2 linked regions of the Saccharomyces cerevisiae S288C genome follow. The gene in region 1 interacts genetically with each later gene. Each region holds a gene or a part of one and is shown in the gene's direction. Other genes may lie near its edges.

Region 1 (8,768 bases):
ATATTTGATTATATCAATAAGGTTTTGTTCAATAGGAAGTACCTGAACTAAATCTTGCAATATTTCCAATGCTAGAATGTATTCAAATAGTTCAGTACCTTTAAGGAACTGCACCACCTGCTTATACCTTAGGAGTATAATACATGAAATACATAATGTCAGTGACGCTGTTCTTAAAGGATAACAAAAATTCCAATCCAAACGTTCATGCCTTTCCTTTTCGTTATCGGGAAACTGTTTAGTGTATTGACTCCATATTTCGTGAATTATTGATTTTGCCATGGTTACTGCTTGTAAGGATTCTCCAGTGATCAGATACGGACGATATAATAGAAAAGAAGCTTGAGCTCTTAAACATGATAGCTCTAACATTAAGACTCTGCTCCTGTAAAAAAGATGTTCTTCGAATATCGGAAAGCCTTTTAACCTGGTAATCTGGAGTGAAACCTCCTCAAATTCTCTTTCTAAGTTTACGAATGGTACCTCGTTTGCGGTGCTGGAAGTATATAGCCGTTGAAAAATCTTACTTTGTAGAGTGGCTAGCTTGATTCTGATTTGCATGAAATCTATCAAAAGTTTATTAGTTTTATTGCGGGGGGATATTTCACACGGCAGAGGTGTTGTAATTTGTTCCAAAGTGATAAAAGGATTTTTTCCATGAATTGTTGCCAACATGCAAGAAGAACACCAAATGTTCCAAAAAAGCAAGATCACACCAATTCCGTCGCTGTTCGACTCAAGTAATTCCTTGCATTTTGTATTGTTGTTCAAGTTTAAAGCCACAGCAAGTTGTAAAGCATTTATACTCAAATATAATTGGTGCTCTAAGGATATCATCATCGTCATGAAATTTGCCATTAGAACGAGGCCGCAAAATCCATCGATTGTGGGATGAGATAACAAGTCGGGAACAAGCGTTTTCGCAGCATTATAGTACTTAAAAGCATCAGTGGTCAGTTTTGAAATACTATTCTCCGGCAAAAGTGGACGATTGTCTATGTTCGAATGATTCAATAGTTCCCTTTTTCGTATGGTCAACGACCCCAGGCACAATACAGTTGAAAGTAAAAACTTTTCATCACTATTTCCTTCTGTACATTCCAAATTTGGGTATTGGGATTCCAGCTCATATAGATGCCATTTTGATATTCCTGGTACGGAGTGAAGCTTGTTCTCAAACAAGACATCGATTAGCCGAGACCTCGTAGGAGCGTTATCTTCGCTCTCAGTTTCTTTAACCACACCGCTTAAGCCTGTAGCAGTAGGTGAATAGGAAAGACTTTTTTGTTCCTTTGAAGGTGAATTATCGCCTAATAGTTTTAAAAAGTCATCGAAATCTGTTGTCTCAGTGTTAAACTCATCGAAATCAAAATCGATCGGAAGAGAAGTGTCCCACCCGTCATTATTAAAAATCACAGCATCATTTGTGCCAAATCTTGATATATCAATATCTGAATCGAATTTTGGCGCTTCTTTCTCATATATATGAGAAGAAAGGTCTTCATTTAGTCCTTTGTTCTCTAGTATAGAGTTATTCCCGTTATCGATAGTATTATTCTTGAATAAAAAAACCTTCGACCCGTTTTTGATTTTTCTCTTGTCTTTCCTTTTATCAATATTATAAATGCATTCTTTTGGTGTATTTAGCCTTATACATCTTCCACATGGCTTGTTCCCATCGCACTTCAACTTTCGTTTCCTACACACAGTACAGGCCAAACTAATAGATCTCTTTCTAGCGTCCTTAGATCTGTCCATACTGCTTGTTGCGAACGCTTTTGTAGTTTTAGATTAAGCTCTCACAAGGGATATTATTAAGGGAACTTGATGGTCGACTTTAATTGAATCTTAGATGACAGCATCAAAGAGAACAGACACAGTTTTTCAGCGATGCCCGTAAAAACAATAGATTTTTTTTTTAAGTCGAGATGCTTACAAAGTAAAGAGCCTAATAGACCTCTATGTAAAAAGCATCAGATTATTCTTCAAACTCAAGTGACTTGGCAGCTACTGTTTTAACATACGGGCAAACAAACTTTAGGTGGAACGCTGGTTTCTGAGGTTTTCGAATTTGGATACTTGCCAGAGGAGATAAAATGTAATGAAGTTTTCTTATGACAACTTTTATTCTGTACTGGCCTAATAATAAATTAGTTTTTACCAAGAACATTGCATGTGTGCCATCGGAGCCATTTGCCAAAGACCAGTTTCTAGATAAATACATTCTTGAATGAAGTTTAATTTCTGATATTTTGTTAGCTTCAAAAGTTATTCATAATACTCTCACTTTACTAAGTTACATCTAAATATAAGGCTCAGGATATCCTTCTGGGTGAATAGTTCTCGAGAAAGCCCATTAAAACTGAGCTATTCTATATATGTATGCTTGAGTGTAGAGCTCGAATTATATAAAAAAAAAAATACATTACTGTGATCCGCCAGGAAAAGGCAGTAAAAAAAGCTGATACATATTTACAACGGCGAATCGCGAAGACACTTACTTTTCTCACATGCCTTTGTCTTTATGCTTACAAAGGACCACTTTACTTATTCTTCTAGTCTTTCGCTTCGACGTCGGAATCTCAAAAAAATATGGGACAGCTGTCTGGAAATGGGGGACAGTCTAGGTAATTAGAATTACCAAACGCCTACTGTTCTCTTCTATTACTAAAATAAGTTGATTTTACTATTTTGATACAGAAGTATAGCGCCCAAACAAGCCTATCCCATTCTAAGCGGAACAAAATTTCCTAATCTGGAAAAGAATCGCCGTCAATAAATAATCATCATATAAAAGATCAGTTAACATTACTTTCTAGTTGTCAAGTACTCTTTCGTTCTTCTTAATTGTATCTCAATTGCATTACAAATCCATCCATTTCACTCGACGGTGGTACAATAAATTAAAATGAAAAAAATCTTAGGTGTCAAGAAACACATGTTTTTGAAATACTTGGCTGTAATTTTGATAGCTGTCCAATTCAGTTTCGACTCCTGTGTATATCTCTCAAGTGTGGTTGACTACATCAAAGAAGTAAGTGTTAATGTAAATCTAAGATAATTTCAATGAACTAGTATGCTAACAATTTAGAGAACGGAGAAACCAATCCGGACAAATTCTTGTTCAGAATTCAAGCCATTTCTGCAGCAGTTCAAGTTTTTGTTTCATTCATTATTGGGGATATTGCTGCTTTTCTTGGGTCCATTAAATGGGTAATAGTGGGGCTTTACTTTTTATCCTTTGTGGGTAATTTTTTGTATTCATGCGGCGGTGCAGTGTCGCTAAACACCCTTCTCGGTGGGCGTATTATATGTGGTGCAGCATCTGCTTCTGGTGCTATAGTGTTCAGTTACATCATGTCAATTGCACAAGATAGGGGTATCGTTTTCAAGCTTCTATCAATTTATCGAGCAGCGGCTGGTATCTTCATGGCGTTGGCACAATTAATTGTCATATTTTTTGGATATTGCGATTTTAAAATTAAAGGGTATCGCATTGCCTCTTACAATGCACCGACATTTGCCTCCAGTTTCATAATTCTTGCAGTATGCCTTTTATTAGTTGTCGTTCTGGAAAATCCTGAGGTTAAAGTTACAAATTCGGAAAATAGCCTTTTCAGTGCTCTGAAACAATTTTTTAGAGTCGAAAGAAAAAAACTCATCTCCTGCTTGATTTTACTATGGAGCATGTTCCTATCGTCATTTATTATGAGCGAAGTAGTTTATTTTATGCCACTATTCCTGACGCTCCACGTTAACTGGGACACCAAGTTTCAAGGCATAGCGTTTATGGTCGCATCTATACTTGGTGTGACTGGAAGCTATTTCGCTCCAAAGTTAATAAACGTCGGGTGCTCCTGCGGCAGAGCCAAAGATGGCGGATTAGAAGAGTCAGATACAACTGGAAGTGAGACCGTTGAGGTAAAGAAAAAAGATTCGCTGTACAGCGGTCAAGTTTTTCTGTCCATCTTTGCATTGTTTGTTTCATTGCTGGGACAAGCTTTTATGATTGGAGCATCCGAAGCCTTGAAGCATAAATCAATGCCACCCACAAATTCTGGTATATTTTTTTCAGCTGGGATGTCGATTACATTGTTAGGGTACAACTTTTTGGCTTCGAGCATTCCAGCCCTTTTTTCCATGTACATCGACCCCAAACTCAAGGTCCAGTTGATGCCTTCAATTGGAGCAATCTCTGGGATTGGTAAACTGGTGGCACCGATTGTATTAGCAGCTCTTTATGGCACAAGATTGGGGCTTTCAATTGCGGTTGGATTTGGTATGATTTTGGTAGCTGTTTCAATTCCACCGCTTATTTGGCTCAGGAAAAAAAGGTGTTAGATTTCCTTAGACATATACTGGTCCAAATCCAGCTATATATCGGGTGCCATTGACGTATATTTTTTCGAAGAACTTGGACGACAAAAAGTCAGCCTCTTTTTTATGGCGTTCTATCAACAAATTTTACATTTGGAAATGATAGTGTATTATCTTTACCATTTCTATAGTGATATATCCGGACTAATCTTTTAGCGGCCATAAATAAATATTACTAATATTTAAAGTTTCCTTCTGATTTATTCTTCTATTATATTCAAACCAGTTGTGGAAAAGTGTGTGCCTCTTTTATATGGCACTTTATACTGAATGATGTAATCAGTTTGCATGGACGCCAAAGCTTGTATTTTAACCAAGGTTTTTTAGAGTTTGGCCGCTTCAAAGTTAAAGACGTTAGGCAATTCGCATAACCTTTTCTTTAATCTCAATATATTATTCTAATCTTATTCTGCAAATTGTCATTGGAATTCGCTTCCGATTTGCTGTACTGCTTGCTGAATAATATCTGCTCTTGCATTGGCAGGTGAGAAATGAATACTATCTTTTAAGGATGTTGGTTTATAATCTCTCGGAGACTAAAAACCAACTTCTCAAAATGATTTATGTATTTGCCCAAAGTTAAAATTGCGTGTTTCCAATTACGTATGCGATATGTAAAAAAATTAAAAAAGTGAATGAATAAGCGACTTTTCGAGTTGCTATTTTTTTCTTGGTTCAACAGAAGTAAAATATAATCAACCATAAATAGGAGAATACAGGCGGTGCTTACAGCTTGATATTTTGTTACCAAGTCAAGATCTATAATAATAACTCAATACATATATGTTAAAGTTAACAACAACATCCGTTACTTTCCACGTACTAAGATATTTCCAACTTGGCTTATCTGTAACTAACTTGTTGTTAGCTAGTTTTGCCATAATCACAAACTATAAAGTGGATCGAATCCTTAGATTGAGCTTAGCTGTTTCAATCATATCTTCAGTTTATTTTGGGATTGTGAGATTTTTGCCTGTTCTGTTAATATTCGTGATGGAAATTGTTCAGACCGTCCTGTGGTTTACCGCTTTCGTAACTCTAGCTTCAAAATTTGGTTCTATGTCCTGCTCAAGTATGCCACGGGGTATAAACTTTGATTATTCAGGTTCTTGTAAGATTGCTAAAATAGATATTTTACCAGAAGCCGTTTTATTCATACTATTTCTCGCTACCACATATGCTTCTTATATCACAGTCCTATCTCAAGCTAAGGAAAATGGGTCAAGCACAAGATCTGTTTTGAAGGCTTGTGTGAAGGCATTACGTGATACCGTGGACCGCTTGGAGACCAGTCTGGAAGAGAGTGAGCCTCTTTTAGATCTTGAAGTTCAGGAAGATGCGAGGACTGAAACCGAAAGCATTGAGGATTCAACTGATAGTGAGGATAATGCTAACATCGAACAAGAGAAAGTGATTGATGGTTCAATTGAGCATTCTTCATGATGAACCAAATGTCTTGTAGTGCATGCTGTTTCTGACTTTGCTTAATGGATTTTTTTAGTTCGACGATGTTCCGTATATTTTAGAGGCACACACTTTCACTTTTCCTATGTTGAGTAATGAAGGCATTTGAAGTTACGGAACCTTATAGGTGTCAGCACGCTGTCATTCCAGATAATTTTGTGTCTCCCTTACCTCCACATATGAATTTGGAATACCAATAATTACCTCTTAAAAGGTTTCAGAAGACGTTTACTATTTAATTCTTAGCTACACATCATATAGTTATTAATTCAATATATTACTTTTGGTACTGCATTCTAAAACACTAAAGTATAACCTCCGAACATTATATAGGTGTTTATTGAGTTATTTTTTGAAGAAATAGTCCACTAGAAATTGCTTGGGATGCGGGATTCCTTTTTCTCTTGGTCCTTACATTATACACCAATTTTATCTTTATAAGAAAATACAGGTAGTTAAATTAAGTACATGAACGCTGAAGATCGATTGGTTCATATTCTATCGGCAATTGGTGTGTTATACAATTCAGAGTTACTAAATATGAAGCTTCTGTCATCTTACGTATGATTTTTCTGCTTTTTAATACGATTATTTTTCTGAAAAAGTGTTATTTGAAACAACTTAAGCCTCAGTAGTTAGAATCAATCAACAAGAGTCCCCTAAAAAAGGCGCAAACCATCTACGTTAATGAAATTACAACAGTTAGAGGATATTATACATTGAGTGTTTACTTAAATATGAAAAATTGTTCACCAGGCTTGGTATTCCTCCAAGTATTCAATCATTCTTGATGGGTTTCTGATAACAGCTTTGGCAGTTTGATTTCTAGCGGTGTCGACGAAAATAGGTGGTCCGCAACATACGACGGCAAGTGAACCAGAATGGTTAACAGATTCATTTAGTATTTCTTCAACATTTGGCCTTCCAACATGGAAAGTGGCAAATTCTAAATCGGAGATAGACGTGTCATTCAGGGAAAGAGGTAGTTCTGTATTTTCACTTTCAGAAGGAGCTTTTTCTGAATTGCTTAGACTAGATGGGGCCTTCTCTGCTGTCGTTTCACCGTTTTTGACTTCATTTGAGGAAATTTTTTCAGCCGAAGCTAGCTCTTGCTTAGAATTATAAATGTGAACTTGAACATTCAAGCCCTTTAATGCCATTAGTTCTTTCTTACACGCGTTGAGCATGTCTAGTCCTCTTACTGCTATGACTAACTGTACAAAGTTTTTACCGCTTGCAGCTGTTGTCTTTCCTAATTCAAGGGCATGAGAAATTGGACCGGGAAGCCCTGAGCCACCTGCCAACAATAATACATTATCAAAGCGATGGGCGGTGGACTTGGAGCCATAAGGGCCTTCGATAGCTAATCTCATGGATGCCTTGCCGCCTTTACGTTCAACAAAGTTTCTTACCAGTTTTGTCACACCTTTCTTTGCTTTCAGAACGATGACCAATTCTCTATCGTTTACGCAAGAATCCATCACTGTAAATGGATGCGACTGCCAGAAGCACAATGGACGCAAGAAGGAAACGAAAACGTATTGGCCTGGTTTTGCCTTCCAAAACTTCTTTGGTTTTTTAACCGTTACACGGACCAAATCAGATCCAACCAGTTGTAGATCTGCTTTAGGAAATCCTAAGAGTGCAATTCTGGTGATACGTACAATTCTATCAACTCCCCAAATTGCTATTGCCGCGTAAATCCATTCGATACCGCTGAAGTTAGTAACATGCTCCCAACAAGTATAGAGAAATAGTGCTGCGAATACTATATGGAGGGCCATAAACGTTTCATAGTAGTGTCTTCTAAATGCTGCGATGGAAAAGAAAATTAACATTCCCGCTAAACAGGTGGTAGCAATACCGAATTTCCAGTAGACTCTTAATCTAACCGTATTCCATTTTTTATAATACAAATAATAGTTCGTAAAGCCGGCAGCATGAATTATTGCATCAAGAAACATCATTCTTCCCAGCCACTTATGGAACACAATGAATGAGGTATGCTTCAAGCCAGAAATAAGTTGGAGAAAGTTATTTCTTCCCGCAAATAAAACAATGAGTGGCAGGTGTGCAAAAGAAAGTATACCGCTTCTGTACGCAACAAAATGTGCCACTTCTGCTCTATGAGCGGCAAATATGATGTGGTATGGATCATATTGATATTTGTAGGCCATGAAAATGGTATGAAGTATGAGGTAGCCTAAAATAACCAACGTTTCAAACCTAGTAGGAAGATAGCCTGTTATCACTTTTAAGTACGAGAAGGGCTCTGCATGCTTTTCATAAAGAGTGGGTAGAGTAGTATAACCTCTCACGTAATTGACTAGCTTTTGCTGAAACATAATCTTTTTTATTGGGGTATAATTCAAAAAACGAATTAAACCTGCAAGCAACATGACACCCACAAAGTATGCACAGATAATGCCCCCGAAATAATACGGAATGTCATGGTTATAGTAGTAACCATAGTATGCATCATAGTATGCTTTTCTTAGTGTAGTGTTCAGTCTGATAGGATAAGTGATATTGATGCCAGCTTTAGGTTGATCTTGTATATAGTATGTTCCATTATCCAATGAGGTGTAAAACTCGGCATCAGTCATGTTCAAAAACTTTGGTGTATAGCAAAATTGTCTCATTTCTTCAAAACCTTTCTCCAAAGTTTTATTTGAATACCCTTTCTCATGCGTGTCTTCGTAAAGACAGTAAAGCATCGATTGGATTGCTGGTTCATACCGACATATAGCGGACCCATTGAACCCCCATGTTTCTTTACGTAAACCAACGTAGCATGAATATATCGACCTTCTCTCATGAGTATTTATTAGAGACGTTTTACTGGGTGGGGCCTTTGCGGCCGAAAGCTGGAAGAACAGAAGGAAAGATATAATATGTACCAACAACATGGTTTTGCCTACCTAAGC
Region 2 (5,641 bases), on another chromosome or scaffold:
GCTATGGATGAAACTAGAGCAATTAAGGATTGGTATGAAATTGAAAGCATCAGAAAAGCTTGTCAGATTTCAGACAAGAGCCATTTGGCCGTTATGTCCGCGTTGCCCATCGAACTGAACGAGTTACAAATACAAGCTGAATTTGAATACCATGCAACCCGTCAAGGTGGTCGTTCTTTGGGCTATGACCCCATTTGTTGTTCTGGACCGGCATGTGGCACTTTACATTACGTCAAGAATTCAGAAGATATCAAAGGTAAACATTCCATCTTAATTGATGCAGGTGCAGAATGGAGACAATATACAAGTGATATCACCAGATGTTTCCCAACTTCAGGCAAGTTTACTGCGGAACATCGTGAAGTTTACGAAACCGTTCTTGACATGCAAAACCAAGCAATGGAAAGGATTAAACCTGGTGCTAAATGGGACGATTTACATGCACTGACACACAAGGTTCTTATTAAACATTTCTTAAGTATGGGTATTTTCAAGAAAGAGTTTTCTGAGGACGAAATCTTTAAAAGAAGAGCTTCTTGCGCTTTTTATCCCCATGGACTAGGGCATATGTTGGGGCTTGATGTACACGACGTTGGTGGTAATCCAAACTATGACGACCCAGATCCAATGTTTAGATATTTAAGAATCCGCCGTCCTTTGAAAGAAAATATGGTTATCACTAATGAACCAGGTTGCTACTTTAATCAATTTTTGATCAAAGAATTTTTGGAAAAGCACCCCGAAAGATTGGAAGTTGTCGATATGAGCGTATTGAAAAGATACATGTATGTCGGTGGTGTTAGAATTGAAGATGATATCCTTGTTACCAAAGATGGTTACGAGAACTTAACTGGTATTACTTCTGACCCTGATGAAATTGAAAAAATCGTTCAAAAAGGTTTGAAGAAACCCCGTTCAGGTTTCCACGTAATCGTTTAGGTATTAACTTTTTTTTACTCGCTTCTAGAAGTTTAGTATATTCTTTTGTACACAGAATTGTATATTTTTTTTATAATCTTGGATTCACCATTTAACTAGATTTGGAAATATAAGGAATGGCACTGAAAAAATTAAGGACCAACCCCGAAGAGCAAAAAATGAATGCGAATTCTGTGGATCGAACACAGGACCTCCAGATAACTTGACCGAAGTTTTTTCTTCAGTCTGGCGCTCTCCCAACTGAGCTAAATCCGCTTCTATTTATGAAAAATTCATTGTTACAGGAACTATAGGACTATAATAACTAGCTGCTAACACCTTTAAATGTGACTTTTCTCATAAGGAAATCTAGCGATTCAGAATTCGAGAATTTTGCAGATTGCAAAGTTTTCTTTTTACCATAATATTTGAGAATGTTGTAAAACTTGAGATAATTATTCGGATGTCATTGTTGATTGAAGATAGCATTCCTATGAGTCGCCCTCGAGGACTTGGATCGAAAAATCTACATAATATTAGTAATTACTATTATTGTTGGAATTGGATAAACCGTCGTCCACCTATTTGAGAAATAGGTAATTATTATATGAGTTATTTGGTTCCTTTTTGTTAAAGTAATAATTTGAAATGCCATCCATTTGGTAATATTCATGTTATTGGCATATTATCATATGCGGTTCAGGAAGATGACATAAAAGTTGAGAAACAGTTATCAACCCTAATGGAAGCTGAAATGCAAGATTGATAATGTAATAGCATAATGAAACATATAAAACGGAATGGGGAATAATCGTAATATTATTATGTAGAACTACCGATTCCATTTTGAGGATTCCTACATCCTCGAGGAGACTTCTAGCATATTCTGTGTACATAATATTATGGTCTTGATCAACAATGCAATCCCAACAGTTATCAAATTATTCAGAAAATTGATCACATTTTCGATAAATCTATTATGAAAGTAAAATTTTGACTCATACCTAAGTTCTCGTTATTCGTTAATCTTATGAACTCATTAACCTTGGCGTTTCAGCATCCGCTATGATTACTAGTGCTTAAACCTTGTTATTCATGCCTCATAATTGATGCCATCTTCTAACCTCGAGCGTGATAAAATTTTTGTAATATGAACACCAATCGGCGGAAGATCATCCCAAAGCCACATATGATGGTGCCTTATAACATTAATAACAACTTCAACTGCTGCATACCGATAATATCTTGACGATTATGCATTCGTGTCCTGATAGCTAATGCCATGAAACAATTCTTTTCAATCGCACTTGCACCTTCGTGAAATAGAAGGGTTATCTGGGCTTATCAGACTTGTCCACAGTTTACATATAATTTTTTTTCTGTATTAAATTTTGTGAGCTTTCTTTTTACTCAAACGAACTGTGTTATTTTTCGTTCATTAAATGCGTACCTTTAAGCATCATCAAGTATTGCTCTTCGGGAAAAATGAAGTAACCTTGTTAGGTTAATTTCACTAGTACTATACATATTTTATCCTGTATCATACCAGAGGATCATTCTAGCCACAATGGTCGATACGCATAAACTAGCAGACGACGTTCTTCAGCTATTGGATAACCGTATCGAAGATAATTATAGGGTTTGTGTTATCCTAGTCGGTTCTCCAGGCTCCGGTAAGTCTACTATTGCGGAAGAACTTTGTCAAATTATAAATGAAAAATATCACACATTTTTGTCAGAGCATCCAAATGTTATTGAGGTTAATGATAGGTTGAAACCTATGGTTAACCTAGTAGACTCTTTAAAGACGCTCCAGCCCAATAAAGTAGCTGAAATGATTGAAAATCAGGGGCTGTTTAAAGATCATGTTGAGGATGTTAATTTTCAACCAGTCAAGTACTCAGCCCTTACATCAAATAATGAAGAATGTACCGCAGTAGTTGCCAGAGGTGGTACTGCGAATGCCATAAGAATCGCAGCAGTTGATAATCCAGTCAATGTTAACAAGTTGGCCCAGGATAGTATCAATATAGCGCAAATAGTCCCAATGGATGGTTTTCACTTATCTCGCAGATGTCTAGACCTATTCAAAGACCCACAAACTGCCCATAAAAGAAGAGGTTCGCCCTCAACGTTTGACAGTAACAATTTCTTACAATTGTGTAAAATTCTAGCCAAGACGTCCCTATGTAAGGTCTCCTCACATCATAAATTTTACTCCACTTCAAGCGTTTTTGAGAAGTTATCCAAAACTTTTAGCCAAACAATTCCTGATATCTTTGTTCCAGGATTTAACCATGCACTAAAAGACCCAACTCCAGATCAGTACTGTATTTCCAAATTTACAAGGATAGTTATACTTGAAGGGTTATACCTACTGTATGACCAAGAAAACTGGAAGAAAATTTACAAAACATTAGCTGATACGGGAGCACTTCTTGTTTATAAGATTGACATAGACTATGAGGCCACCGAAGAAAGGGTGGCCAAAAGGCATTTGCAATCAGGGTTAGTCACGACTATTGCAGAAGGACGAGAGAAGTTTCGCAGCAATGATTTGTTGAATGGCAGGGATATAGATAATCATTTAATTAAGGTAGATAATATCGTCCATATCCGCAACGACTAGAAGGTTAGGCGGAACCTTGTATATATTTTTGTAAAATCGAACTGAATACAGATAATTAAGGCGCGCAAGCAAAAACGGCATTCTTTATGAACTCTGCAGAGGTGCCCTTTATTACGACATATATGGGAAGTAATACATATTGATTCTACAAGAAGTTCAAGCCAAGGTTTAGATATGAGTGACCAAATCAACGTTTTGTCAATGCAACAACAACAACAGCAGCAGCAGCAGCAGCAGCAAGTATATATGTCTCCTCAAGCAGAAAACTTGAATCATATGTACTTGTTAGTTAACAAGCTAGTGAAACAGTTGAGGGAAAATCAAGCAGAAAAGGCGAAAATACTAAGGAACATAGACATATTATCCGGAAGCTTAAACAAGTATGAGACATCTGAAGAACCTCACGATACCACGGAAAATATTGCATTATTTAATAGATTTCTAGAACAAAGAGGGAAAGCTCCTATTACTGAGAAAGAGCAACTAAGCAACAATCTGGATGAAAATGCGAAAGATGACGTTATGCTAGGAGTGTTGAAGCGCCAAAATTCAATGCTCCGGAAAAGTTTACAGGAATCCAAGCAGGTAACCCTTGAATCCATGGATTTATTGTCTTACTCCGAAGACTCTTTAAATTACATTGTCGCCCAATTAAGAGGAAACATTCTAATGCATCATAAAGAGACTATCAAATTGATTAGGCAGAAATTCCAGACGGAGACAATTCCCCTCGAAGATGAAGAGTTCAAGATGTATTTGGAAAATGTTAATGGTCTGCAAAAATTGACAGATATATCTCACACTTATAGATTACTACTGAGGTTACATGCACAAGATTGAAACTTTGCCCTTTTGCTTCCAATGAAAGCAAGATGACAAATATACATGCTTCTTATATTCGAGATTGCGCAAAAATTCGAAGCTCATTTATGAAGGCTTTTTCCATTCTGATATATGTTTATGAAATTGAAAAAGTAACGACGGTGGAACATTTTGCGGGAAAACAACTCACAGAATGTCTTGACGTTCTTTTCCTGCAGTTGCGTGCGTAAGATATCCTAAGCTACTGTATTATTTGCCAAAAATAATAAAATGTTGGAGGAAAGCCTCTATAAATACACAGGATATATATGTTTAATAAACATATATAATTTCCTCAATATTTGCAAAAGCATTTTGTTGTGATGAGAGTCGATTATCGTTTACCGATTAGTATCTATACTATTAATATATTTTCATATAATTAGTATAATCTCATATACGCTGCCAGAAGATAACATGAAAATTAAGAAACAATCATCAGCTTCAATGGAAGTTGAAGTGCAAGGATAAATAATACTATTTAGAAATATGGATTTTCCCTCGTTGACTAGAAGATCTGTGAAGATTGGGTGAATAGTTTAATAATTATTGGATCCCATTATTGATCAAGGCTATAATACTTGACTATTTGGCGAATTTTGAGATAATTGTTGGGATTCCATTGTTGATAAAGGCCATAATATTATGTATACAGGATATACTAGAAGTTCTCCTCGATGATATAGGAATCCTCGAAATGGAATCTATATTTCTACATACTAATATTACGATTATTCCTCATTCCGTTTTATATGTTTCATTATCCTATTGCATTATCAATCCTTGCACTTCAGCTTCCTCTAACTTCGATGACAGCTTCTCATAACTTATGTCATCATCTTTACACCGTATATGATAATATATTGATAATATAACTATTAGTTGATAGACGATAGTGGATTTTTATTCCAACACACTAATTATCATTCGTTACATCTCAAATTGGTTAGAGAAGTTACAAACATTATTATTGATTTATCCAAGGATAGTTTTCACAAGAAAACAAGCGCAAGTGGTTTAGTGGTAAAATCCAACGTTGCCATCGTTGGGCCCCCGGTTCGATTCCGGGCTTGCGCAGTTTCTTTTTTTTCTGATTTTTATTTTTTTGTTCCTGAAAATTTTTCGTATTATTAGATCTAGTAGAAAATGAAAGACATTTGAAAAGAGAAATATATATTCTGCAGTAAGCTAGCTAAGACTAGTCGTTTTGAAGCGCTAAAACGTTAACTTCGA

What was found.
Region 2: mutations in YNR061C (region 1) and YFH7 together harm fitness more than expected from each alone (negative genetic interaction), as found in Saccharomyces cerevisiae (one large-scale study listed by BioGRID).

Annotation. Positions count from the first base shown.
Region 1 is NC_001146.8:739,933-748,700, reverse strand, and holds YNR061C (uncharacterized protein), read left to right. Parts: upstream 1-5,160; coding exon 5,161-5,820; downstream 5,821-8,768. Other genes in the region: PUL4 (Pul4p), read right to left, coding at 1-1,758; PUL3 (Pul3p), read left to right, coding at 3,358-4,341; FRE4 (ferric-chelate reductase), read right to left, coding at 6,591-8,750.
Region 2 is NC_001138.5:156,814-162,454, forward strand, and holds YFH7 (Yfh7p), read left to right. Parts: upstream 1-2,485; coding exon 2,486-3,547; downstream 3,548-5,641. Other genes in the region: YFR006W (putative Xaa-Pro dipeptidase), read left to right, coding at 1-939; FAR7 (Far7p), read left to right, coding at 3,722-4,387. UniProt on the Saccharomyces cerevisiae protein: ATP-dependent kinase that could be involved in endoplasmic reticulum membrane assembly.